4 linked regions of the Oryctolagus cuniculus genome follow. The protein of the gene in region 2 interacts with the protein of the main gene of each other region in a biochemical or structural test. Links are inferred from orthologs where the notes say so. Each region holds a gene or a part of one and is shown on either strand. Other genes may lie near its edges. The genes, in order: SMAD7, WWP2, WBP2 and SMAD3.

Region 1 (5,142 bases), on a different chromosome or scaffold from region 2:
AGCCTGTGTCTACATTTCTGCCCTTGGTTTGCCCCTGATCAGCACTGAGAGGCCTGTGGGAGGCAGCCCTTCCTGCCAGGCTCACTTCCTGTCTGCCTGCCTTCTGCAGCGCCAGCCTTCTGCCCTGCTGGAGCCCCGGGGAGGGGGCTGCGGGCCCGGGCACCTTGCACCCTGGCAGAGAGACTGCACATGCATGCAGTCCAGTGCCTTGCAGAGGTGAGAGCCAGGAAGACCCCCGCCTCCTGGCTGCTGGCCAAGCTCACCCATGTCCTGGAAGGGCTGAATCTTGGAACGTCTGCTCCCCATGGGTGCCTCCTATGTGCTCAGAATCCCACAGGTGCCTCTGGGACAGCCCCAGCTCTCTGGCCTGGAATGGCTTCGTACCCCATTGTTGGTCATCTTTGTCTTTCAGTTTAGAAATCAGGAAGAAGACAGTTTCTTGCTGACCCACTGTGGGGCCTTCGGGTCCGGTCACCCTGTGCCATTGGCCAGGGTCTGAGAGTCCCTGAGCTGCTGGTCTCCTGTCGGCGGCAGGAGCGCCTTGCTGGATGGTCACCCCCCACCCTCCGCCCCCTTCCCTTTAAAGGGGAGAGTTTATGCTTTCAGGAAAAGGAGGAAGGGGAAGGGGGGGAAAACACCTTAAAGGAATTTTAGGCAGACTCAGCATGTTTTTGGTGTTGCTCCAAAAATTCCCTAAAGTGTAATAAAAAGAAAACGCTCGCAGGCATTGATTAGTGAGCTTTTCTTTGGGATGCTTTGAAATGAGCACATGCAGTTGGGCAAGAAGCTGGGTGCAGTTCCTGCGGGAGGGCAGGAGGCGCTGAACACACAGGGGAGGCTGTGACCTTGAGGGCAGGGCCCCTGGGCTCTGCCTTTCGGAGGTGATGGCCAGAAGCCGAGGCTGAAGGCCCGGGGACTTCTCAGCCCCTGGCTGCCTGGCCTGGGAAGCCCCGGGCCAAGCGCCCACACCGGCCCTGTGGGGAGACTTTGTGGGCTGCGGGCCCGATTCGGGGAACTGGTCTGTGACAGTGACGCTGAGTGCTTCCCAGAAACCAGCCCGGCTGGCGGGGGCTCTGCCGTGTGGGGTGCCCCGGGAGCACCCAGGGCTGCGTGCCCCGCAGTGGATTTGCTGGGGAGCGTGTCTTTGTGCTAGGAAGAGCCCTGACAGGAGGCAGAGAGCGGAGCTGCCCTGGGGGGGGGGGCGGGAGGGGGGCACCCTGCCGGCTCTCAGGGGCCCTGTTTACACTCAGGGACACCCTTTATCTGGGCTGGGCCATTAACCTCAACAGAAAGAGGCTTTTTCCAGGAGAGGTCTGGTAGCGGGGTAGCTACGCGGGCTGCCCAGATGAAAGAGAATCCCGCTGGAGCGCCCCTCCCCGCCCCCTCCCAGCTCCCTCTGCCCCGAGAGGCCCCGCCCCTTTGGGGCCTGGCATGGGGCACCTAGGTCCTCTTCCTCCTTGCTCCCTGCCAGTGCCTGCCAGCTTCCAGTGGCGCTAGGCTGCCTGACACCCAGTGGGGCTCCCCGAGGGAGGAGTCTCCCACCCCCAGCGCCCCTGCCCAGCCCCTCTCCCAGGCCAGGTGTGTGCTGGGGGCAGCCAGGGCTTTCTCTCCGCCAGAGATCTTCTGGCTTCCGTGGCTGTCACCGGCCTCTGGTGTAGCCTTGGGAGGTGAACTCCCAAGTTCAAAGATTGCCCGCACTCGCCGCTTTATTAGCAGTTGATGGATCCTTTGCAGACGCTCGATGCCTGATGATTCACTCTTTGCTCAGAGCCCTTGCCTCTCTCATGTTTTCCCATATGTTGCAAGGTGTGTGTGTGAGAGAGAGAGAGAGAGAAAGAGAGAGAGCACACACAGCCCAGGGACACACAGTGCTCTCACGCACGCTGCCATAACACATACACTTAGGCAGCGCACGCCCGGCCATCCAGGGATGGGTGGTGACCGCCAGTCTCTGGGCATAGATTTCAAAGTTGGGGGTGGAGAGGGAGGGGGAGAGATGAGCCCTGCCACGGCCACAGCTCAGCACGCGTGTGTGTGTGTTCGTGGCTGCCTTGGTGGAGTGCAGTGTGTGCATTATTTGTGCAGACTTATTCACAGGCCACCTCCATCCAGGACTGGCTGCTGCTTTAGGAAAAAAAAAAAAAAACAGCACTAATGGAGCCGACTGGTGCCCAGGTCCCAACATGCCTGCAGAAGCTGGAATGAGTCTGTGTTAAGCTGCACCGGTTCCACAGCCCACTGGGGTTCAGGACAGGCGCCCCGAGCCCTCCTCCTACCGCCGACCGACCCCTGGGACTGGGCAGCTCCCTGTCAGGGCCTCTGGGAGCCCGGTTGCTCCCAACACAGACCCCAGCGAAACGCGAGTCACACTTCAGTCCCTGCCAGCCCACCAGACGGGGAGGGCCGGGCTGCAGGGAGGGTGGCATGCCGGGCTTTCTTGCCTCCCTCCCCGTTCCCCGTTCCCCGTTTTCTTTTTTCTTTTTCTTTTCTTTTTTTTTTTTTTTTTTTTGTTAACAAATACAAGACTTCCGGTCTCCACCCTGCCGCCACAAACCACAGCGTCCCTGCAGCCTGGCTGGGCTAGGGAGATTTATGGGCCCCAGTCTGAGGCCTGCCCGCTGGCTCCAGCTTAAGGAGGAGTCGGAATGCCAGCCGCCTGGCCCCCTGCCCTCCCTACGATCCCCCCTCCCTTGCAGGTCCCCGGAGCAGAGGGTTGGGAAAATCACCTTAACAGACTCACCCTGGGCTCTGCAGAGCCGGGTGGGGCCTGCAGGAAGGCCCTGGGGGAGGAACAGCCTTGCACTGTGCAGGGTCAGGATGCCTAGGGGAAAAGGGGGAGGGGGCACCCCTTGGCACGGCCACTGGGGCCACTTCCAGGACATGGTCCTCTCTGTTTTGGACTCCTCACCTTCTGGCTGGGCAGGAACCAGTTTTGTTAAGGTAGTCTGGCTTGATGTCCCAGTGTGTGTTGTGATTGGGCATTTTGAATTGACCCCTTTTGTGCAGAGCTGCTGGACAGTGGTGGCGGGGGACCACCAGGGTGCTGGATCTGTCTGTGTCACTGCCTGGCTCTGAGTAACAAGCTTTCTGGGTCCTGGGTTTCCCATCAGGACAGCCCAGGGCGCTGGCATCAATGGCTTTCAAAGTTGCGTCCAGTTGAAACAGCTGTAATTCCAGGCCACCTGTAACCTTAAAAGCAAGAGCCACGAGACTCAGGCACCTCTGGCCCGTGCTCTGCAAGGATGGGGCTTCCCTGGCCAGGTTGGGGGAGCTCAGGGCTGTGCACCAGGAAAGCCGGGCTCTTCTCTTACTGGGTCACGATTCCAGACTCCAGGGCCTGCAGCCGGTCCAGGACCACGGCCGCCCCTCCTCCCTTCTGCCTTGGCACTGAGTGTGTGTTTTGGTCCTAGAAGCAAAAGCAAACGCCAGTCCCCTCCGCCACCAACCGTGCGCCCCCCTTTTTGTCTTGCAGATTCCCAACTTCTTCTGGAGCCTGGGGATCGGTCACACTGGTGCGTGGTGGCATACTGGGAGGAGAAGACGCGAGTGGGAAGGCTCTACTGTGTCCAGGAGCCTTCCCTGGACATCTTCTATGATCTACCTCAGGGGAACGGCTTCTGCCTCGGACAGCTCAATTCGGACAACAAGAGTCAGCTGGTGCAGAAAGTGCGGAGCAAAATCGGCTGTGGCATCCAGCTGACGCGGGAGGTGGACGGCGTGTGGGTCTACAACCGCAGCAGTTACCCCATCTTCATCAAGTCCGCCACACTGGACAACCCGGACTCCAGGACACTGCTGGTGCACAAGGTGTTCCCCGGCTTCTCCATCAAGGCTTTCGACTACGAGAAGGCGTACAGCCTGCAGCGGCCCAACGACCACGAGTTCATGCAGCAGCCGTGGACTGGCTTCACCGTGCAGATCAGCTTCGTGAAGGGCTGGGGCCAGTGTTACACCCGCCAGTTCATCAGCAGTTGCCCGTGCTGGTTGGAGGTGATCTTCAACAGCCGGTAGCCGCGTGGGGACAGGACAGAGCATGAGCCGAGCAGGCCAGCGTTCAAACTACTTTGCTGCTAAGGTTTCCCTCCCGAATGCTTGCTTTTCATGCAGACTCTTTGGTCGTGTTTTTTGTTGTTGTTGTTTGTTCCTGTTTTCTACTCGTCATTCTTCTTGTTTGTGTTCCGTTTTGTTCTTTGAGAAATAGCTTATGAAAAGAATTGTTGGGATTTTTTTTTTTTTTTTTGGAGCAGGGGTGGGGGTGGGGAGGCCTATGGTTGGTGGGATACCCCAGATAAGGAAAGGAGGGGGAAGCAGTGTGTGGACTGGGGAGCAGCCCCTCACTTCTCTCCAGGCATCATTTCACCTGTCGGGAGTGTGCGTGTGAGTGAGCGTGTGTGTGAGTGGCCGAGGCGGGGAACGCCACACTCTCTGCTCTGTGTTTCTGACGGATGTCCCCGCCGACAGGTTGTGGCACCAGCTGTGTCCCTCTTGCCCTTCGGACGCGTTCCGTGGAGGCAGAGGCAGTACCTTGGGCGAACTGGCGGCTGATGTCCCAGTGGCTACCGGAAGCACGGCTCTGCCGCCTGCCCCCCGAGACGCCCCCTGCCCCGCTCTCCCCCCGTTTCTAGGACACGGGCCTGTCCACAGGCTTCTGAGAAGCCAGCCTCCTCAAGGCTGAACCGGAACCGACCCTCTCCATCCTTGCCTTACTCTGCCCCCGCCCCGCCCTGCCCCGCCCGGCCCGGCCCCGGCCCACCCCGGCCCAGCTGTCCTGGTGTCTCTGTTCCTCAGCCACTGCTCCTGGATCTCCCTGGGATGGGCAGCCCCGGCACAGTATTGCGCCCCCCCCCCCCCCGCCCCAGTGCCCTGTGCCTCCCCCCGCCCCCTCCATCAGATGTTTCCTGGGTGTGAGAGAAGCTGTGCGCTTTGCTCCCCCTGCAGCCTGTGCGTCGAGCTGTGCCGTGAGGTCCGCGCCCGCAGCCCCCTCCCACCAAGCAGGGTCTGGTCTGTACCCAAGGTACCATCCTAGGCTGACACCTGCCTCGTCTTTCGTTTCTTCTGCGACTCATACGCTCGTATGATCATTTGACACTGTTCTTAGCTCAATGAGCATGCTTAGACTTTAACATAAGCTATTTTTCTAAC
Region 2 (5,698 bases):
GCTAATCCTCCACCTGCGGTGCCGGCACACCAGGTTCTAGTCCTGGTTGGGGCGCTGGATTCTGACCTGGTTGCTCCTCTTCCAGTCCAGCTCTCTGCTGTGGCCCTGGAAGGCAGTGGAGGATGGCCCAGGTCCTTGGGCCCTGCACCTGATGGGAGACCGGGAGAAGCACCTGGCTCCTGGCTTCAGATCAGCGCAGTGCGCCAGCCGCAGTGCGCTGGCCGCGGCGGCCATTGAGGGTGAACCAACGGCAAAGGAAGACCTTTCTCTCTGTCTCTCTCTCACTGTCCACTCTGCCTGTCAAAAAAAAAAAAAAAAAATCCTATACCATAGGACCTACAGCAGTGTGTTGCGCAATAAATGTTGGTGAAACGTATCTATTCCACAAATTAAAGAAGTCTCCTGTGGACAAGGCACTGATCTGGAAGCTGAGACAAAGCTCCTGTCTTAGTAATTCTTATCATGAGAAACATGGATTTGTAAGATTTTCTATTCTTACAGAAGTCACACAGTGCTAAGTCTTGAGGACACATGGAAAAATAAGAAAGTGAGAAGTGGGCTGGTGGGAGGGGAAGGAAGAGATGAGTTGCATTCGTTTTTTTTTTTTTTTTGACAGGCAGAGTGGACAGTGAGAGAGAGACAGAGAGAAAGGTCTTTCTTTTCTGTTGGTTCATCCCCCAATGGCTGATGCGGCCGGCACACCGCGCTGATCCGAAGCCAGAAGCCAGGTGCTTCTCCTGGTCTCCCATGGGGTGCAGGGCCCAAGCACTTGGGTCATCCTCCACTGCACTCCTGGGCCACAGCAGAGAGATGAGTTGTATCCTAAACAGAGTGATCGTGAAAGGCTTTGCTGTGTGACAGCTAAGCAAACATCTGAGAGAGAGAGGGTGGGAAGTGGTCGTTACTGTCTCACTATATGGGGAAAGAGCTTTTCAGGCACTGGGAGAAGCAAGTCCAAAGGTCCTGAGGCCAGAGTGGCCAAAGGGCAGAGTGGGGGTGAGAGAAGAGAAATAAGAAGGGACTGTGGGGAGGGGAACCATGCGGGTGACCACCTATATTTCTAGCTTTCACTGCTTAATGCACCCTGCATGCTTTTTACTTAGTCCTCTTGCTCTTTGGTGAACACTTACTGAAAGCCCACCCCACAAGGAAGCCTTTCCTCACTCCTCTAAAGCAGAATTAGGAAAACGCCCGACAATGAAATTGGAGAAGCGTCAGTTTCGTGGCAGGGTTTAACAGGTTTAACGAATTAAGAGATGGCTGTATATTATTGAAAGGCAAGGGACTGAGTTCAACCAATTTCATTTGTGTGCATGATTGGATCCATCCAAATGCTAAGGCTCCCCCCACCCAAAAAAAAAAACAAAACGGGGTAATTAGGTTGCTAGTATTAATTTTAACCAATGGTAATTAAAAGTGAAAAACAGTCTTCATCCAACTTGTCAAAGCTGAGGCCCTGCGCCGTTAGTAAGGGATGTTGACATAAAATGTTCTTGCTAAGTTGTATGCACCTGCAGATGAAGGGAACAGGGGTTGGCTGGGCGTGATAGGGGGCATTTTATGCCCCCAGGCAGGGGCTTCGAAGCTGTTCTACTTCATGTCCCAGATGTTCCACGACGGACAGGTCTGTTGCTTCTACAGTCTAGAACCGCGCCTGGCACGTGGCAGGCATTGAGTCACCAGGATTATCAAACACAAATACAAGCGGCACAATCCAATGTGATTTTCAGATAATCTTAGTATAAATATATCCCATGTAGGATATTGGGCAGACACGGTTGTTTACCCGAAACTGAAATTTATCTGAGATTTCACTTTAATAACTTTATTAACCCCACTAAGGAGCTCAAATACTCGTGATTTGTTTGACCCAATTGAAAGAGGATCTCCTCGCACCTGTAAAATGGGTCTAAATCACAGCACGCGCCTCCCTAGCGTTGCTGGGCAGATAAAGCCAGCACGTGGCACCTGGCGAGCCCTCAGTTTATACGACTGCTGGGAAACAAATTCATGAGCGGCAAAAGTTTCGCCTTATACACACGGCCACAGGACCCGGGCCTCTTCGAGGCCAAAAGCTCGCAGGCCAGGCCTAGGTTGCCGGCACCTGAGAGCCCGGCCAGCCTCTTCCGGGTCAGGTGACCGCGCGCGGCCACGTGACCCGGCCCGAGTGCGGGCGGTGGAAGGCGGAAGTGGGAGAGGAGTTGGGCGCCGCTTCTGGGGCCGGGGCAGGTAGCGAGCGCGGGCGCGGCGGGCGCGGCGGGCGGGCGCGGGGCGCGGAGCGGGCCGGGGGCGGCGGGCGGCGCGCGGTGGGCTGGGGGCGGCGCGGCCCGGGCGCCGGGGGGCGGCGGCTTCCTGTGGGAGGGGCCTGGCGCGGCGGTTCCGGCCTCCGAGGAGGGGTGTCCCGGCTCCCGCCCGAGCGGGGTGGGCGCGACGCGGCCCGCGTGGGGCCGCTCCGAGGTGGCCGGCCGGGAGCCGGTGCTTCCGGGAGCGGCGCGGCGCGTTGGTGCCGGGGGGCTGGAGGGACAGGCATCGCGATCTCTGTGGAGGGAGCAGGGGAAGGGCGAGTTGGGACGGAGCTGGGAAGGGGGTGCCGAGATGGACATAGGGCGGGCAGGGCAGGGGAGCAGCCCGGGAGATGCCGCCTGAGCCCCACTGAGGGCGTCTTCCCCGCTGCGTCTTTGGCAGCGATGTTTCCCCGAGACTTGATTTCGGGCTCAGTCCATCTTTAAACTTCAGGAGGGATCACAGAATCTTGGTCGTCTTGCTCTCGTCACACCCACTTAGTCCCGCGGGCGTCGGGTTTCCACTTCTTGGGAACCTAACCCTTCAGGATCGCCTTTCTTTGGGGCTTTTCCCCCTTGATCAAGTCGTCTTCGAGGCTGAAGACAGAAAGCGTGGGCGCTCTGCTGTGGCTGCAGGAAGGTTTCAGCCTACGCTCTTGACCATGACCTAGCCCAGCACCGCCTCGGCCGGAACACCGGCTAGAGGACCGTGTACCTGTGTGCTAACGACTTCGGGTCTGGCTGTGGTTTAAATTATTCAGCTTCCCTTACCACGTGACTGCTTATCTTGACCAGCTGTAGCTAGGTAGAAGTCTGTGTCCTGTGCCTTAGAACTATGACCTGGCGCCTGATGTTGAGATTAAATACCCATGTCACAGCTGTTCATCTTCCTCTTTCTGTAAATGTTCACTGAATGTTTTGCAGAAGTGAGTCTCATGCGTGCACACACAAGAGCCAGAGTCGTTCAGGGTTACAAGTTAGAGAACAAAAGGACTTTACTAAATGTATGAGGTGTTCAGGTTTTTGAAGTGTTTGATGAGCATTTAGAAGTTAATTTTTGCAGCAGCCCTGTGATTTAGATGGGGAAAGGTCTTTTTTCCACGTCATGAGAAACAGACAGACTTAAAGGAGTCTTGACTTTTAAAACCAATGTGTTCTTTCTTGTTTACTGGTCTCTTCCTGCTGGACGTAAGAATCTTCAAGGGCAGATACCGTGTTTTATTTGGCTTCTTTGACCACTAGCCAAGTGCCTGGCATGTTGTGGGCACTTGGTCAGTGTTTGGCAATAAATGAATTTCTAAAGTCATACAGCTGTTAAGTGTTGGGCAAGGGATTTGAACCCAAGTCTTGGGTCTCTAGTAGGCAAGCTGCTGTTTTCTGTGCTGCTGGTCTATGTGAACATGATAGGCATAAAAGAAGGGCTTGGATCGGCTTCTCATCACTTAATGAGTACTTTCTCCTTTACCAGGAGCGTACGCCCACGTCTCATTTAATCCTCTCGGAGATCTTCTGAAGGCTGGGGTTGTCCCTGTCCCGCAGATGCAGAGACTGAGGCTTGCTGAAGCCCTTGCCTTCGATTCCAGAGCTAGTACATGACCCAGCAGCCACTCAGGCCCACACCTTCTGTTTCCAGACCATCCTTTTCCATTTATAGAAGTGATAGAAAGTTTTATTGAAAAAAGTTTTTTTTTTTTTTTTTTTTTTTTTTTGACAGGCAGAGTGGACAGTGAGAGAGAGAGACAGAGAGAAAGATCTTCCTTTGCCGTTGGTTCACCCTCCAATGGCCGCCGTGGCCAGCGCGCTGCGGCCGGCGCACCGCGCTGATCCGATGGCAGGAGCCAGGAGCCAGGTACTTTTCCTGGTCTCCCATGGGGTGCAGGGCCCAAGCACCTGGGCCATCCTCCACTGCACTCCCTGGCCACAGCAGAGAGCTGGCCTGGAAGAGGGGCGATCAGGACAGAATCCGGCGCCCCAACTGGGACTAGAACCCGGTGTGCCGGCACCGCTAGGCGGAGGATTAGCCTAGTGAGCCGCGGCGCCGGCCTGAAAAAAGTTTTTAAAGTACAAAAAGTATGATGCTTTAAAGAAAACATACTACGAATTAGAGAAAAAATTGTCCATGTGCAGTGTAACTGAGGACTAGAAAACCCGCTACTGCAGTGTCTTAGTCTGTGTGGTGCTGCTTAACTATACCATGGACTGGGTCGTTTGTAAGTGAGAGAAGTTTATTTGAATCATGGTCTGTAGGCAGGGAAGCCCAAGAGTTGAGGGACTGTGTCTGATGAGGGCCTTCTTGCTGTGTTGTAACACGGTGGAGGGCATCACATGGAGAGAGAGAGAGAGAGAGAGAACGAGAGAACATAAACACTAAACTGCTTTTCCAACAAACCTGTTCTTGCAGTAATGACATTAATCTACCCGTGAAGGCACGGCCCCCATAACCTAACCGCCTTTTAAAGGATCCCCCTCTCATCACCTGCACTGGGGGTTAAGCTTCTGACACAGGACCTTTGGGGAACACATTCAGCCACAGCATTGCCATGGCTGCCTCTTCCCAGGACAGTGCTCCTCCCACCAGTATTGCAGGGACCTGTTCCATGCCAGGCAGTTTCTAGAGTTGCAAGTAGCCTCATGGTGCTGGTGAGCCCTGGAGATACGCTGTAAGCATTCAGTCCACACCAGACTGGAAGACTTAGCATAGGAAAAAAGTAAAATGTCTCTTGGGCATTTTTTTTTTATAACATAGTAAATGAGCAAACAAATAGAAGTCATCAAATTATATTTTTGATTTATTGAGTTAAATGTAATTAATTTCATCTCACTTTTTAAAAATGTGCTTCCTAGAAAGTTAAAAAATCATGTATGGTTCCCGTTGTATTTCTTTTGGACAGAGCTGTTCTACATACCAGGAATATAGCAGTATAGAAGAAAGGCAAAGTCTTCCACCTTTGTGGGTCTTAAATCTGATTGGGGAAAGGTACAATAAGGAAACCAGCTAAGCAAAATACGTATTGTAATATGGCAGAGAAGAAGAATGTGAAAAAAAAAAAAAAAAGAATGTGGAGTGTTGGGTAGAGTTGCAGTTAACTTTTAAAAACATTTATCTGAAAGAGAGAGCTCCCATTCACTTGTTCCAGCCAGGGCTGGGTCAGGCCAAAGCCAGGAGCCCAGAGCTCAATCTGGGTCTCCCATGTCAACTACTTGACATCATCTGTTGCCTCCTAGTGCATTAACAAGAAACTGGATCAGAAGCAGGGAACCAGGACGTGCACCAGGCACTCCTGTGTGGGTTCCTGGTGTCCCAAGTGGGGACCCAGCTGCTAGGCCCAATGTGTGTCCCAGGGAGGCAGTTTTAAGTCTAAGGTTTTTAGAAAAAATCCCCTTAGGAGGTCAAGGTTAAGTAGAGATGTCAGGGA
Region 3 (5,728 bases), on a different chromosome or scaffold from region 2:
CCCCCAGGGCGAGTTCCTGGCTCAACGCCCACACAACGCCCACTGTCGCAGGCATTCGGGAGTGAATCAGCAGATGGGAGGGGCTGCAGGCGTGCTGCCCGAGGGGCGGCCGGGAGCCGGGGGAGTCTCTGGCCTGTGCTGCGCCCACCGGCAAGGGCAGAGTGGCAGGAGCGTCCGAGTCGGGGCCAGGGGCTGCTGTGTCCACACTGCTGCTCGAACCCGGCCTGCGTGCGTGTGGAGAGCCCGCGGGGCGTTAACATCCTGATTGCAGTCTGGGGGTGAAGACGCCACCTTGGATTCCTTTCAACCCCGGCCGTGCAGGGACGGCGTCTCATGGCTCCTCTGCCGTGGCCACGTCCCGGTGATCACGGCCTGAAGACGCGGAGAGGTGTCGTGCTGCTGCAGGCGTGCGCCTTCCAGTCCGGCCGCTCGCTACTGCTTCCCGGGGGCAGGAAGTGCTGAGCCCCTGCCGCCCACGTGGGTCCCAGAGAGCTTCCGGGCTCCCGGCTGTTGTGGGCATTTGGAGGAGGAACCAACGAATGGAAGATCTCTCTCTCTCATGCAAGCACGCTCTGCTTTTTAAGTAGTAAAAATAATCCAAAACAAAAAACAACCCATCCTGACAACGCGCCCTGCTGCTTGTCGCTTGCGGCCGTCTTTCCACTGCCCTCCGCGGCCACGGCCGGCTCCTCCTCTGAGAACATCCGCTCGTGCTCATCTCCAAGCCGGCGTGGGCAGCTGGGAGGCGAGCCGGTTCTGCAATCTGGCGTTTCTCTCTGCAGGACTCGCTGGGCTCGCTGCCCAGGCTGGAGGCTGGAGCCAGGCTACTGCATCCTGTTTACCACGTCCACCACTCCGCGTGAGCACAAAGGCCTCTCCGGCTACTCTCACAGAAACCCAGGCTGGACGACCAGGCCGCCGGCCTCCAGGCGGCACCCCGGGGTAAGCTCCGATTCACTGCCCAGCAGCCCATTCGGCTGTAGTCGGCCCGGGGTCCGGGAGCACGGGACAGAGGAACGGGCGGAGGGAAGCCCCTCAACCCGCAGGCTGAGGCTGACCTACGACCGGGACTCACCTACCCCTGAGCCCCCAGACCCACGGCGCCGCTGAGCAACTCACCCGGTAAGGGGTAAGGTAGACCGTGCCTTTCTTGGTCCCTTTGAAGGCTTCTGGCACATTCTTCATGTCATTGAACGTGAGTTCCACATGATCATAGGACATCAGGATGCTGTGGCCAGGGGAGGGGAGAGGCCCGGATGAGACACTGCAGAGGTGGGATCTGGGACCCGGCACTGGGCCCTCCTCACAGTGCAAGGAAGGGGCTCACGCAGCCGAGCAGGGTCCCCCGCAGCCACGTGGCCACTCCAGCCTGCAGGCGGGGCATCATCTGGGCCTTTCCTAGGTCCCTTTCTGTCACCTGAGCAGAGCACACGTGTCTGAGTCCCGGGCATGACGCCACACCTCTCAAACGGCTCCCTCCGGGGTTCTTGGTCTGCGGGGACACCTGACCACGAAGCCCCAGGACGATCCTGCGTGTGCGCTTTCCTGGGAGGAACCCACTATTCTACACATCCAGTGTTAAACACCAGGCTCAGTTACAGACACAACTTCCTCCTCCAACAAGGCCACTGCGATGGGCGTTCAGCCTGGTGGCTAAGGCGCCACCCTGGGGACACCGCACTGCGTATGGGAGAGCCTGGACCCAGTCCTGGTCCCCACTCCCGACTGGGAGGCAGCAGCGGCGGCTCTGGTGATGGGGTCCCCGTCACGCACGTGGGAGACCTGGACCCCTGGCCCCGCACTGGCTGCTGTGGGCATTCGGGGCAGATCAGCGGATGGGAGTCTCTCAAAAACAACAAAGCACTAAGTACAGGCACACTGAGCCCCGCGGGGGGGGGGGGGGGGGGCGGGCCCAGCAGGACGTCGTTCCGGTCCCAGACAGATACATTTTAAGTCCCCCTTAGAAAGACAAAGTCCCAGGAGATCAAGCGATGTTAGGCAGAGGCTCCAGACACAACACGCCCGTCTGTAACCTGAGGCCACTCTGACTACGCGATAGAAAAGCTCCAAGTTCAGCCCCATCTGGCTCCCCCCCCTTCCCAAATATTACAACTTTCTCCACTGGGGGGGGGGGCGTAGCAGCAGGGAGGAGGGCGGCCCAGAGGAAGACGTGCCCAGCGGCCAGCTGGTGTTAGTGCCCAGCGGCCGAGCAGGTGGGTGCAGGGAGAGCAAGCTCCCTGGGGTCCAGGGCACCCCGCAGTCTCCCCTGGCAGGGCCCGGGCTGGGTGCTGTCCGGGCTGGCACGGCTCTCCCTGCACCCTGTCCGCCCTGGAGACCAAGGCTGCTCCTCGGTTCCTTCTGCCTTCGAGAGCGAACCAGGCTCGGCGTGGCTCAAGCCAGGCCTGGCTGGCCAATGCCCCAGGCCTAGGGGGCAGGAGAGGCCACCCAGAGGATGGAAGGAGGGGAGCGATGCCCTGAGCAGGGGCGGGGAGCAGGACCAGCCCTGACCCTGGCGGCGACCCAGGCCAGCAGGCCTTCGCGACAAAGTGGCCCGGTGGGTGGTAACCTTTACAAGGACCTACTCGCGAGCCGGGACATCCGCCCTCGGGGCCCTCAGCCTCTCGCCTGGCCCTAAGCCTGGCCGTGAAGCCCGGGTGGACTCCTCTCCTGCAGCGCCCGTCTGCGCGGCTCAGCGCCCGGAGCTCCGGCAGTGGCGCGCCCACCTCCGGGCGCTCCATTCGCCCCACCGGGCCCCGCGTAGGGCAGGAAGTTTGCCGCGCGGGGGTCGGCGCCCACCAGCCGGCCGAGGCCCCGGGCCCCGCACGTAGTAAGGGAGTCAACACTCAGCAATGGCAATGTTTGCGCCAGGCTCCTCCCAGCTCCCGGGGAAGGCGCCCGACAGCCACCCCCGGGCCTCCCCACCCGCCGCCCCTGGGATCGCAACACCGCAGCCCCCCACGGGCCCGCCCCCAGCCGTCACTCCTCCTCGGCGCTCCACCAGTCCGCCCCCGCAGGGGTCTACTCCCCACCGCCCACCCCCGGACACCCGCCCCGCTGTCCTCCGGGGTCCTGCCGCGGAGTTTTCACCTCTCCGTGTTGTTGACGATCACTCCGCCGCCCTCCGAGTGATTCTTGTTGAGCGCCATAGTCTCTCCGAGAGGGGTCCCGAGACTCAAACCGCAGTACGCTTGCGCCCCACTTCGGCCCGCCCCTAGTGGCGTCGTTCTTATTAGAACCAGCCAATCACAGCTCCTGCACGGAGGCTGGCCCAACCACCTGATCCCGGGCGTCACGTGGTAATAGTTTATTCCTTCTCCCTCTCCCCCGAGTTCCGCCTGCGTCACAAACAAGTTGGAGACTACAATTCCCAGTAGGCAGTTCGCCCTCAGCCTGGCCCGGTCCCTACGCTGATGAAAGAGATGCGTTCTGGAAATACATTCTGGGACTTGTAGTCTTCTAGACCACAGGCTAGGATCGACGCTGTGGTTTGCGTAAACAATCGGACTGTGCGCGTCCCCAGAAGGCTGGGAATAAACAGTTTAGCTTCTTCCTGGGGTAGGGGCTTCATCCTAAAGGCCACGGGCGCGTATTAATAAGGCCTACAAGGACAGAATATGGGCCCTGGGGCTGGGGCCCAAGGCCCAGTTTCCCTAGGAAAACACGGCCACCCCTTTAACCAGTCAAGCCCAGGCTCTCCGAGGTGGGCTGCGAGGACGCAGTGGGGAGGGGAGACTCACTGCCCCCGCCTCCGCCATCCCCTCCCCACCCCCTCCACTCCTCCCTCCCCTCTCCTCCCCTCTTTATCCCCTCCCCCCTCTTCTCCTCCCCTCCCCTCTACTCCCCTCTTTATCCCCTCCCCCCTCTTCTCCTCCCCTCTTTATCCCCTCCCCCCACCCCTCCCTCCCCTCGTCCCCCTCCCCTCTCTTCTCCTCCCCTCCCCTCCCCTCTTTATCCCCTCTCCCCCTCCCCACCCCTCCCTCCCCTCGTCCCCCTCCCCTCTCTTCTCCCCTCCCCTCTCGCGGTGGGGCCGGGGTCCCTCGGGCTCCCTCCTCGCCGCCGACTCCACCGCAGCTGGCCTCGCGGTGGCGCTGCCCGCTCTAGAATGTTCTGCCTGGCAGCCCCAGCCAGCCCGGCCCCTGCCTGGAAAATTTCAACCAGACGGAGTCCCTGAAACCAGGCGGAGTGCGAGGCCGGCAGCCAGACACCGGGGCTTCCAAAGCTGGGCTGGCTCAGAGAAGCTGTGATTCCAGCGGCCCAGGGGCAGGCGGCGTCCAGAGTCCATTCCGGGAATGGTTAATCTCACGGGTCAGAGTTTGGTTGCCTTAGCTTTGAAAGCGATTGCGTCCCGAGGACCGCGTCACGGGGAAGATCCTGACACAGCAGCCTCGTGCGATCCTGTGCCAGGCCGGGCCGCACCTCGCAGGGCCTGGGCTGGGCACTGAGCGGGTCCCGGTGACGGCCGCCCCACGTGGTCGGGCCGGTTTGGCAGGTGCCATCTCTATAGCCCATGTAAAGAACTCATTTGTATTTTTAAAAAACAGGGCAATGAAGGGGGGCCAGCGTTGTGGCACCATCCTGCGACCCCGGCATCCTATAAGGACACAGGTTCGGGGGGGGGGGCGGTTCCCGGCTGCCCCACTTCGGATCCAGCTCCCTGCTAATGAGCCTGGGAAAGCAGTGGAAGATGGCCCGAGTGCTTGGATCCCTGCACCCTCGTGGGAGACCAGGATGAAGCTCCTGATGCTTGGTGTTCCTGGCTTAGGCCTGGCCCAGCCCTGGGTGTTGTGTGGATATTTGGGGAGTAATCCAGTAGATGGAGATGGAAGGTGAATCTCTCTCTCTCCTCTCTCCCTGCCTTTCACATTAATAAATTAAAAAAAAGGAGGGGGGAGGGACTCCCCCTGCAGTGGGGCGCTCCATGGAAGGGAGGTAGGGTAGAACCTTCAAGCCCCAACCCCACCCCTTGGCCAAACTAGGGTCCAGCTAGAGGCAAGATGCCATCTGCTGTCACTCCTGAAGTGGCTTCAATAGCTGTAGCTGGACCGAACTGAAGCCAGGAGCCTGGAACTCCATCGCAGGGGGTGCCGGCATCAGCTAACGCACTGGTTAACCCACTGGGACACAACACGGGCCCCCAGCTGCGGGATCGGGGGGGGGGGGGCTGAAGCTCAGCCGGTTTTGGACGGAATACAGGATTGTAGCGCAGGGCGCTGTGGCCACCAGGGGCCTTGTGACCAGAGGAGGAGTGTAGCCACGGGGACCTCCCGGTGGGAGCCATAGCAAGCTTAGGTGATGCCGGCCTGAAGTGTTCGGGGGAGCCACGGCCACACCGCTGCTCCAGGTCCTGGAGACGCCGGCGACCCCAGGGCTGGAGCTGAGGGCCCCGCAGCAGCTCGTTGCTGGACCAAGCCCTTCTGGGCTGGGGTCTCGGGGCTGGAACCTCTTCTCCTCTTTCCTGTCGCTCTGCCTGTGTCCGGTAAGGACCCTTCGTTTCTGAACTGAAGCGTGCGTTCTCCAGGCCAGAGCTGGCTGGCGGAGCGCAGAGAAGGGCGCAGGTGCGCCTGCGACAGAAGCCAGCGGGGGGGGGGGGCTGCGCCCCACAGTCCGCGGCCTCTTGGGTCCCAGCAGCTTCCTCTGTTGGCCTTGTGAGCCGAGCAAACCCGTGTGTGCTGTGACGCGACGAGGTGAGCAGGCTGCTCTCCAGAGACTGGTTCTCAATTTTTACATT
Region 4 (5,142 bases), on a different chromosome or scaffold from region 2:
GGCATATACCGTTAAAATGTAAAGATTGATTGATTTGAAAAGCAGAGTTGGAGAAAGGATCTGGAAGTCCGTCTAGGTCTCAGATGTGGGTGCTCTCTGCTGCTTTCCCAGGCACACTAGCAGGGAACTGGATCGGAAGTGGGGCAGCTGAGACTTGAACCAGTGCCTACATGCGATGCTGGCATTGCAGATAGCAGCTAACCCGCTGCCCACACCGGCGGCCCCTGGCATACACTGTGTGTGTGTGTGTGTGTGTGTGTGTGTATGTATGGTGGGTCCCTGTACTAGTTTGCACTGCAGCTGTCTGGTTATTTGATTGACAGCAGTCTTGCCCACTGGACTCTGTAACCTCCAGGGAAGCAGGGTCTGCTGCTCCACTGGTCTGTTGTGACCACGAGGTCACTTTCCCGAACCAAATAAGGCCTCCCCTGCCTCATCCCCTCTGCCACTCCCGAGTCCCCTTGGGACCCCCCTTCTGCGGATGCAGTTCATGGGGGTCAGCTCCAAGTCTGCCCTTCCAGCAAGCTTCCTGGGACCCAGCTGTGGGTCAGGGGTCACGCTTGAGCTGGCGACGCTGGATTACAGCCGTTGTGAGGCCAGGTCGCCACACAGGGCGCCGCTGGTGTTCCCGCTCACTGTATGCGCGGCCCCTGTGGCTTTCACGCTTGAGTCTGAGTCTCGGATGGAGGCCAAGGAACTCCCGAGGGGCCTGGCCTGTGGGTTTTGCTGTTTTAAACTCCCTCCCATTCCCCCATTTCCTGCTCTGCTTCACCCCACAAAGCACGCAAGAACGGGAGAGAGAGACGGGGGGGGGGGGGGCAGGGGAGGGACCGGGAGGATGTGAGAGCCCTCCGGGTAGCAGGTGTGTTCTGCCGTCCCTCTTGCCGTCGGCCGCCGTGTCTCATTGGCTCCTGTCCCCTCTGCACCTCTGCCAGACGGGTGGCTCCTGGCCCTTTTCCAGTGCTGTCCCCTTCTGGGGTCCCTGCAGAACGCACTCTGAGGGCTGGTGGGGGCCACGCCCACACTGCCAGCTTGGGGGTGGGGCTGGTTTCTGTTTTCTCCTGGGGTTCCTCCAGCTCTGAATCTCTGATTCCCGGGACCTCAGCGGCTGGACGGTGAGCAGGGGGAGGGCAGCTTCTTGCTGAGCTGCCAGCAGAAGGAAGCCCAAATCCACGTGGCCCTCTCTTCCCGCCCTGCCCCGCAGGTCCCTGGATGGCCGGCTGCAGGTGTCCCATCGGAAGGGGCTCCCTCATGTCATCTACTGCCGCCTGTGGCGATGGCCAGACCTGCACAGCCACCACGAGCTGCGGGCCATGGAGCTCTGTGAGTTTGCCTTCAACATGAAGAAGGATGAGGTTTGCGTGAATCCCTACCACTATCAGAGAGTGGAGACGCCAGGTACGCCCGGCCTGGGCCATCGGGGCTGGCGGGGCGAGTGGGAGGGTCTGGGGTGGGCTTCGGGGTGCAGGGCTGTGGTGCCAGCCTGGCCCCAGGCCCTGAGCGGGTGTCTGCTAAGTCCCCCCTCCCCCGCCCCACCCCGGCAGTTCTACCTCCTGTGCTGGTGCCACGCCACACGGAGATCCCGGCCGAGTTCCCCCCGCTGGACGACTACAGCCATTCCATCCCCGAGAACACCAACTTCCCCGCGGGCATCGAGCCCCAGAGCAATATTCCAGGTACACCCCCGGGGCGGGGGGTGGGGGGACCCCCTCTCTGTCCGGCTGGTTGGCCGGCTGGCGCTGGCCCCCGGGGGCCCCTGACTCAGGATCGCAGCCCTGTGGGGAGAGAACCCGTGGCCTCAGCTCCCCGCTCCCTAACGATGCTTTTCTTGGCACGGCTCAGCGGCGTGACCCTTCCGCCCAGCCTCGGCGCAGTCATTTATTTTGGAAGCGGAAATAGCAATGCCGTGTTTCTCTCACCGCCCTCGCGGCCCTGGCGGGGCTGCTGCTGGGCGGAATCCCATCGGGCGGCCCGGCAGCCAGGAGGGGAGCGGCGCTGTGAGTGCCCCTGGCCTTCACACCCGGGAGGCCCACTTGGAGCGTTTCCTCTGCCAGGAGGACCCGGCTCCACGTCCACAGGGCTCTTGGTTTTTTGTGGTTTTTTTTTTTTTTTTTTTTTTGATGCCCCTCGTTTACATGTGAATAACATGTGAATCACCAGCCCTGGCAGCCTCTTGGAAGCCTGCGCTTGCTGGGGCTGCGATCCCGCTGCCTGCCTTGTGGGGCCTTGGCATTCAGACGTGGCTTCCACGGCTTAGCTTTCTGTGCTGAGGTCGGCTCCAGGCCTGTGTGCTTGGGTCCGCGCGTTAGGGAGCGACCCACTGCCCAGCCCGGCTCAGGTCCTACACAGGTGGCGCTGCTCGCTCAGGGGGTAAGTCAGGGCCTGGGGGTGGCTCCGGAGGCCTCACTGGAGGAGGCGGGGGCTTCACCCGATTTCCAAGGGTGGGAAAAGTGAGCTTGGCAGGGGTAGAGGTGGTTACAACCCAGGTGGGCAGCTGTGGCGCACTGGTATGGGGACAGCGGAACCCAGAGCTCGTGCCCCAGCAGCCACCCGATGCTGGCATGGTGGTGTGAAAAGGGGTGATGTTTGCAGAGGGGGTCAGAGGCCTTTTAATGAACCAGCTGCCTTCTGATGGCAGAGACCCCGCCCCCAGGCTACCTGAGCGAAGATGGAGAGACCAGCGACCACCAGATGAACCACAGCATGGACGCAGGTCAGTCGGGGGGGCAACAGGCTGCCCGCCTCTGCTGGGGTCTCGCCCTCCCTTTCTCTCCCTGCCCCCTTCCCCTCAACCCCTGCCTCCCGTCTTTCTATCCAGTATCTATCAAGCGAGTTTGTGTGGGATACCAGGAAGAGAGGAGGAGACTGAGCCGCCCAGAGCTGCAGGGCCCTGCTGGCATCAGGGCCACCAAGGCGGCTTGGGGAGGGAGCAGGACTGGCAGGGGAGGGGTCTCCCGAGTTGGGTCTTGGTGGGGTTTAGGTATGAGGTGGGCTAAGAGTGTAGGGAGTGGGGAGATTCTGGGAATAAGGTGAGCTCAGTGTGGCTTCCAGAGAAGGGAGAGAGAAGAGGGCCTGGCACTCGGGGCTGGTGCAGCCAGGCAGGCCATTTGGCATTGGGTCTGGGCCCCCGGCTGGGTCTGCACCTCGCTGAGGTGTGGCCGTGGGCAGGTGGGCAGGTGGAATCCATCAGCTCAGGAGGTCCGGGTGGGGCGAGAGCCTGAAGGGGAGGAGGGTTTTTCTTTGGCTGCCCGGCAAAGGCCCCTGAAGTCAGCATTTCTGAGCGGTGGCCAAAGGAGATGGGCAGCTCCCCCCGGGAGGCCCCGGCCTGGCTCTCTGCTGCTGCGTCCCCGGATGTTCCCCGCCCCATCATTCGCTGTGGGACCCAGTTGGCTCCAGGCTAGCAGCTTCTGGAGTTGTCAGCGAGAGTTTCTTGGGGAGGAGGCACAGGCTGCCTAGCAGGTGTCCTGTTCTGGACGGGGAGCCGGAGCCCAGGAGAGAAGAGCAAAAGCGACTCAGATACACGTGCGTCATGGACGTCGCCGCCGGCCTCCAGCCTTCAGGGGAGGCTAGCGCGGGGAGCAGGCCAGCCAGGCAGCACCCCAGCCTCCCTCCCTCCCTCCACCTGCCGAGTTTCCTCTCCCTCTGCCTGCTCTCGGGCCTCCCTGCCACTGTCTGCGTGTGCAGTGCCTGCTGTTACAAAGGATGCAGACCAGAAGGGACGCTCTGTGCGCGGCTTCACCCTCTGCTGTCCCTCCTTCCGCTTCCTCTGCCTGCTTCCTGCCCCCTTTCCCTCCCTCAGCCTCCATGCAGGGCCCTGCTGGGCACATTAATCAGATCTATCCAAAGGGGGTGCTAGGCTTGCGGCCGTCTGTCTGCCAGGCTTCAGTGGGTGGGGCTCCTCAGTTACACCCCAGAGCAGTTGCTCAGGGCCTGGCCTCCCTGCTGGCTGCCAGTGCTAGGGCCTCTGGCCCCCTGCGCCTCCAACCCCGTCCACGTACACAGCCATTCAGACCAGGGAGGAGGTGCCACAGCCTTCCTGGGGTTTATGATTTCAGTTGCCACAAATCAGGAAGCAAAAGTTTATTGAGTGCCTGCTGAGTACCCAGTGTAAGCATTTCTATATGGCCAGTCTCAACTTTTTAAAGATGTATTTATTTGAGAGGCATAGTGAGAGAGAGGGAGGTAGAGGTATTCCGTCTGCTGGTTCGCTCCCCAGATGGCCGCAACGGCCAGAGCTAGGCAGATCCGAAGCCAGGAGCCAGGAGCTTCCTCCAGGTCTCCAGAGCACTTGGGCTATCCTCTGCTGCTTCCCCGGGTGCATTAGCAGGGAGCTGGATTGGAAGTGGAGCAGCCGTTTTGAAGCTTATCTTTAAGGCTGAGTCGGAGCCAAATCAAAGACCCCCTGTGAACAGCTGAGGGCGGCCCAGGTTTGAGGCGAGTGCCAGGCTGGCAGCAGGGGCTGGGGGATCTCAGGGTGGACCTAGACCCCAGAGGGCGGTTAGTAAATAAAGAACCCTCCGTGGCTTTGAGGTGGCTCTGGGGAAGATGGCCACTGGCTTTCATTGCAGGCTGATCCCTGTGTGCTGGTGAGAGGTGCAGGGAAGGCCTGGGTGGGTGGGGCTCCTCCCATGTGCACCCTCCTGTTCTTTGGTCAGCTGGGGTCAGGAGCTTCCTGGGCCTGTCCTCTTCCTGGGGGCGTGGGCCACACGGCAGGTGTATAACTTAAAGGAAAAGGGGCAGCCTTGCGTAGCTGAGAACCCAGCAGCAGCCAAAAGCTGTCAAATCATGGAGGACATCTCCAGAGTCATCTGTGAGGCCCATTCATTCCACGGGCCCAGGGCGTGGGTCCCGCCTTCTCCTGCAACATGGAGTCGCAGGCCAGGGTTTTCTTCCTACCAGCTTGAACCTTTCCTTGTTTTTTTCTTTTTTCTTTCTCTCTCTCTTTATGCCAAAAGAGAAAAGAGAGAGAAAGAGAGAGAGAGACACTTCCCATCCAGTGATTCACTCCCCAAATGTCTGCAGCCGCCAGGACTGTACCAGGCCAAAGCCAGGAGATCCATCTGCATCTCCCATATAGGTGGCAGGGGCCCAAGTATTTGCGCCATCTCCTGCCTCCTGCCAGCGCGAGCGTTAGCAAGACGC

The links.
Region 1: the proteins of WWP2 (region 2) and SMAD7 are reported together in a solved structure, tested with the Homo sapiens proteins (2 studies listed by BioGRID, with this or other methods). The link is inferred for Oryctolagus cuniculus from reciprocal best matches to the Homo sapiens genes WWP2 and SMAD7.
Region 3: the proteins of WWP2 (region 2) and WBP2 form a complex in vitro, tested with the Homo sapiens proteins (4 studies listed by BioGRID, with this or other methods). The link is inferred for Oryctolagus cuniculus from reciprocal best matches to the Homo sapiens genes WWP2 and WBP2.
Region 4: of the proteins of WWP2 (region 2) and SMAD3, one has a biochemical effect on the other in vitro, tested with the Homo sapiens proteins (2 studies listed by BioGRID). The link is inferred for Oryctolagus cuniculus from reciprocal best matches to the Homo sapiens genes WWP2 and SMAD3.

The regions. Positions count from the first base shown.
Region 1 is NC_091441.1:28,937,889-28,943,030, forward strand, and holds part of SMAD7 (mothers against decapentaplegic homolog 7), read left to right. Parts: intron 1-3,472; coding exon 3,473-4,011; 3' UTR 4,012-5,142. UniProt on the Homo sapiens protein: Antagonist of signaling by TGF-beta (transforming growth factor) type 1 receptor superfamily members; has been shown to inhibit TGF-beta (Transforming growth factor) and activin signaling by associating with their receptors thus preventing SMAD2 access.
Region 2 is NC_091449.1:52,876,039-52,881,736, forward strand, and holds the start of WWP2 (NEDD4-like E3 ubiquitin-protein ligase WWP2), read left to right. Parts: upstream 1-2,093; 5' UTR 2,094-2,229; intron 2,230-5,698. UniProt on the Homo sapiens protein: E3 ubiquitin-protein ligase which accepts ubiquitin from an E2 ubiquitin-conjugating enzyme in the form of a thioester and then directly transfers the ubiquitin to targeted substrates.
Region 3 is NC_091448.1:4,795,201-4,800,928, reverse strand, and holds the start of WBP2 (WW domain-binding protein 2), read right to left. Parts: upstream 3,753-5,728; 5' UTR 3,147-3,752; coding exon 3,088-3,146; intron 1,229-3,087; coding exon 1,120-1,228; intron 1-1,119. UniProt on the Homo sapiens protein: Acts as a transcriptional coactivator of estrogen and progesterone receptors (ESR1 and PGR) upon hormone activation. In presence of estrogen, binds to ESR1-responsive promoters. Synergizes with YAP1 to enhance PGR activity.
Region 4 is NC_091443.1:89,949,194-89,954,335, forward strand, and holds part of SMAD3 (mothers against decapentaplegic homolog 3), read left to right. Parts: intron 1-1,204; coding exon 1,205-1,398; intron 1,399-1,544; coding exon 1,545-1,676; intron 1,677-2,092; exon of another isoform or gene 2,093-2,370; intron 2,371-2,638; coding exon 2,639-2,713; intron 2,714-5,142. UniProt on the Homo sapiens protein: Receptor-regulated SMAD (R-SMAD) that is an intracellular signal transducer and transcriptional modulator activated by TGF-beta (transforming growth factor) and activin type 1 receptor kinases.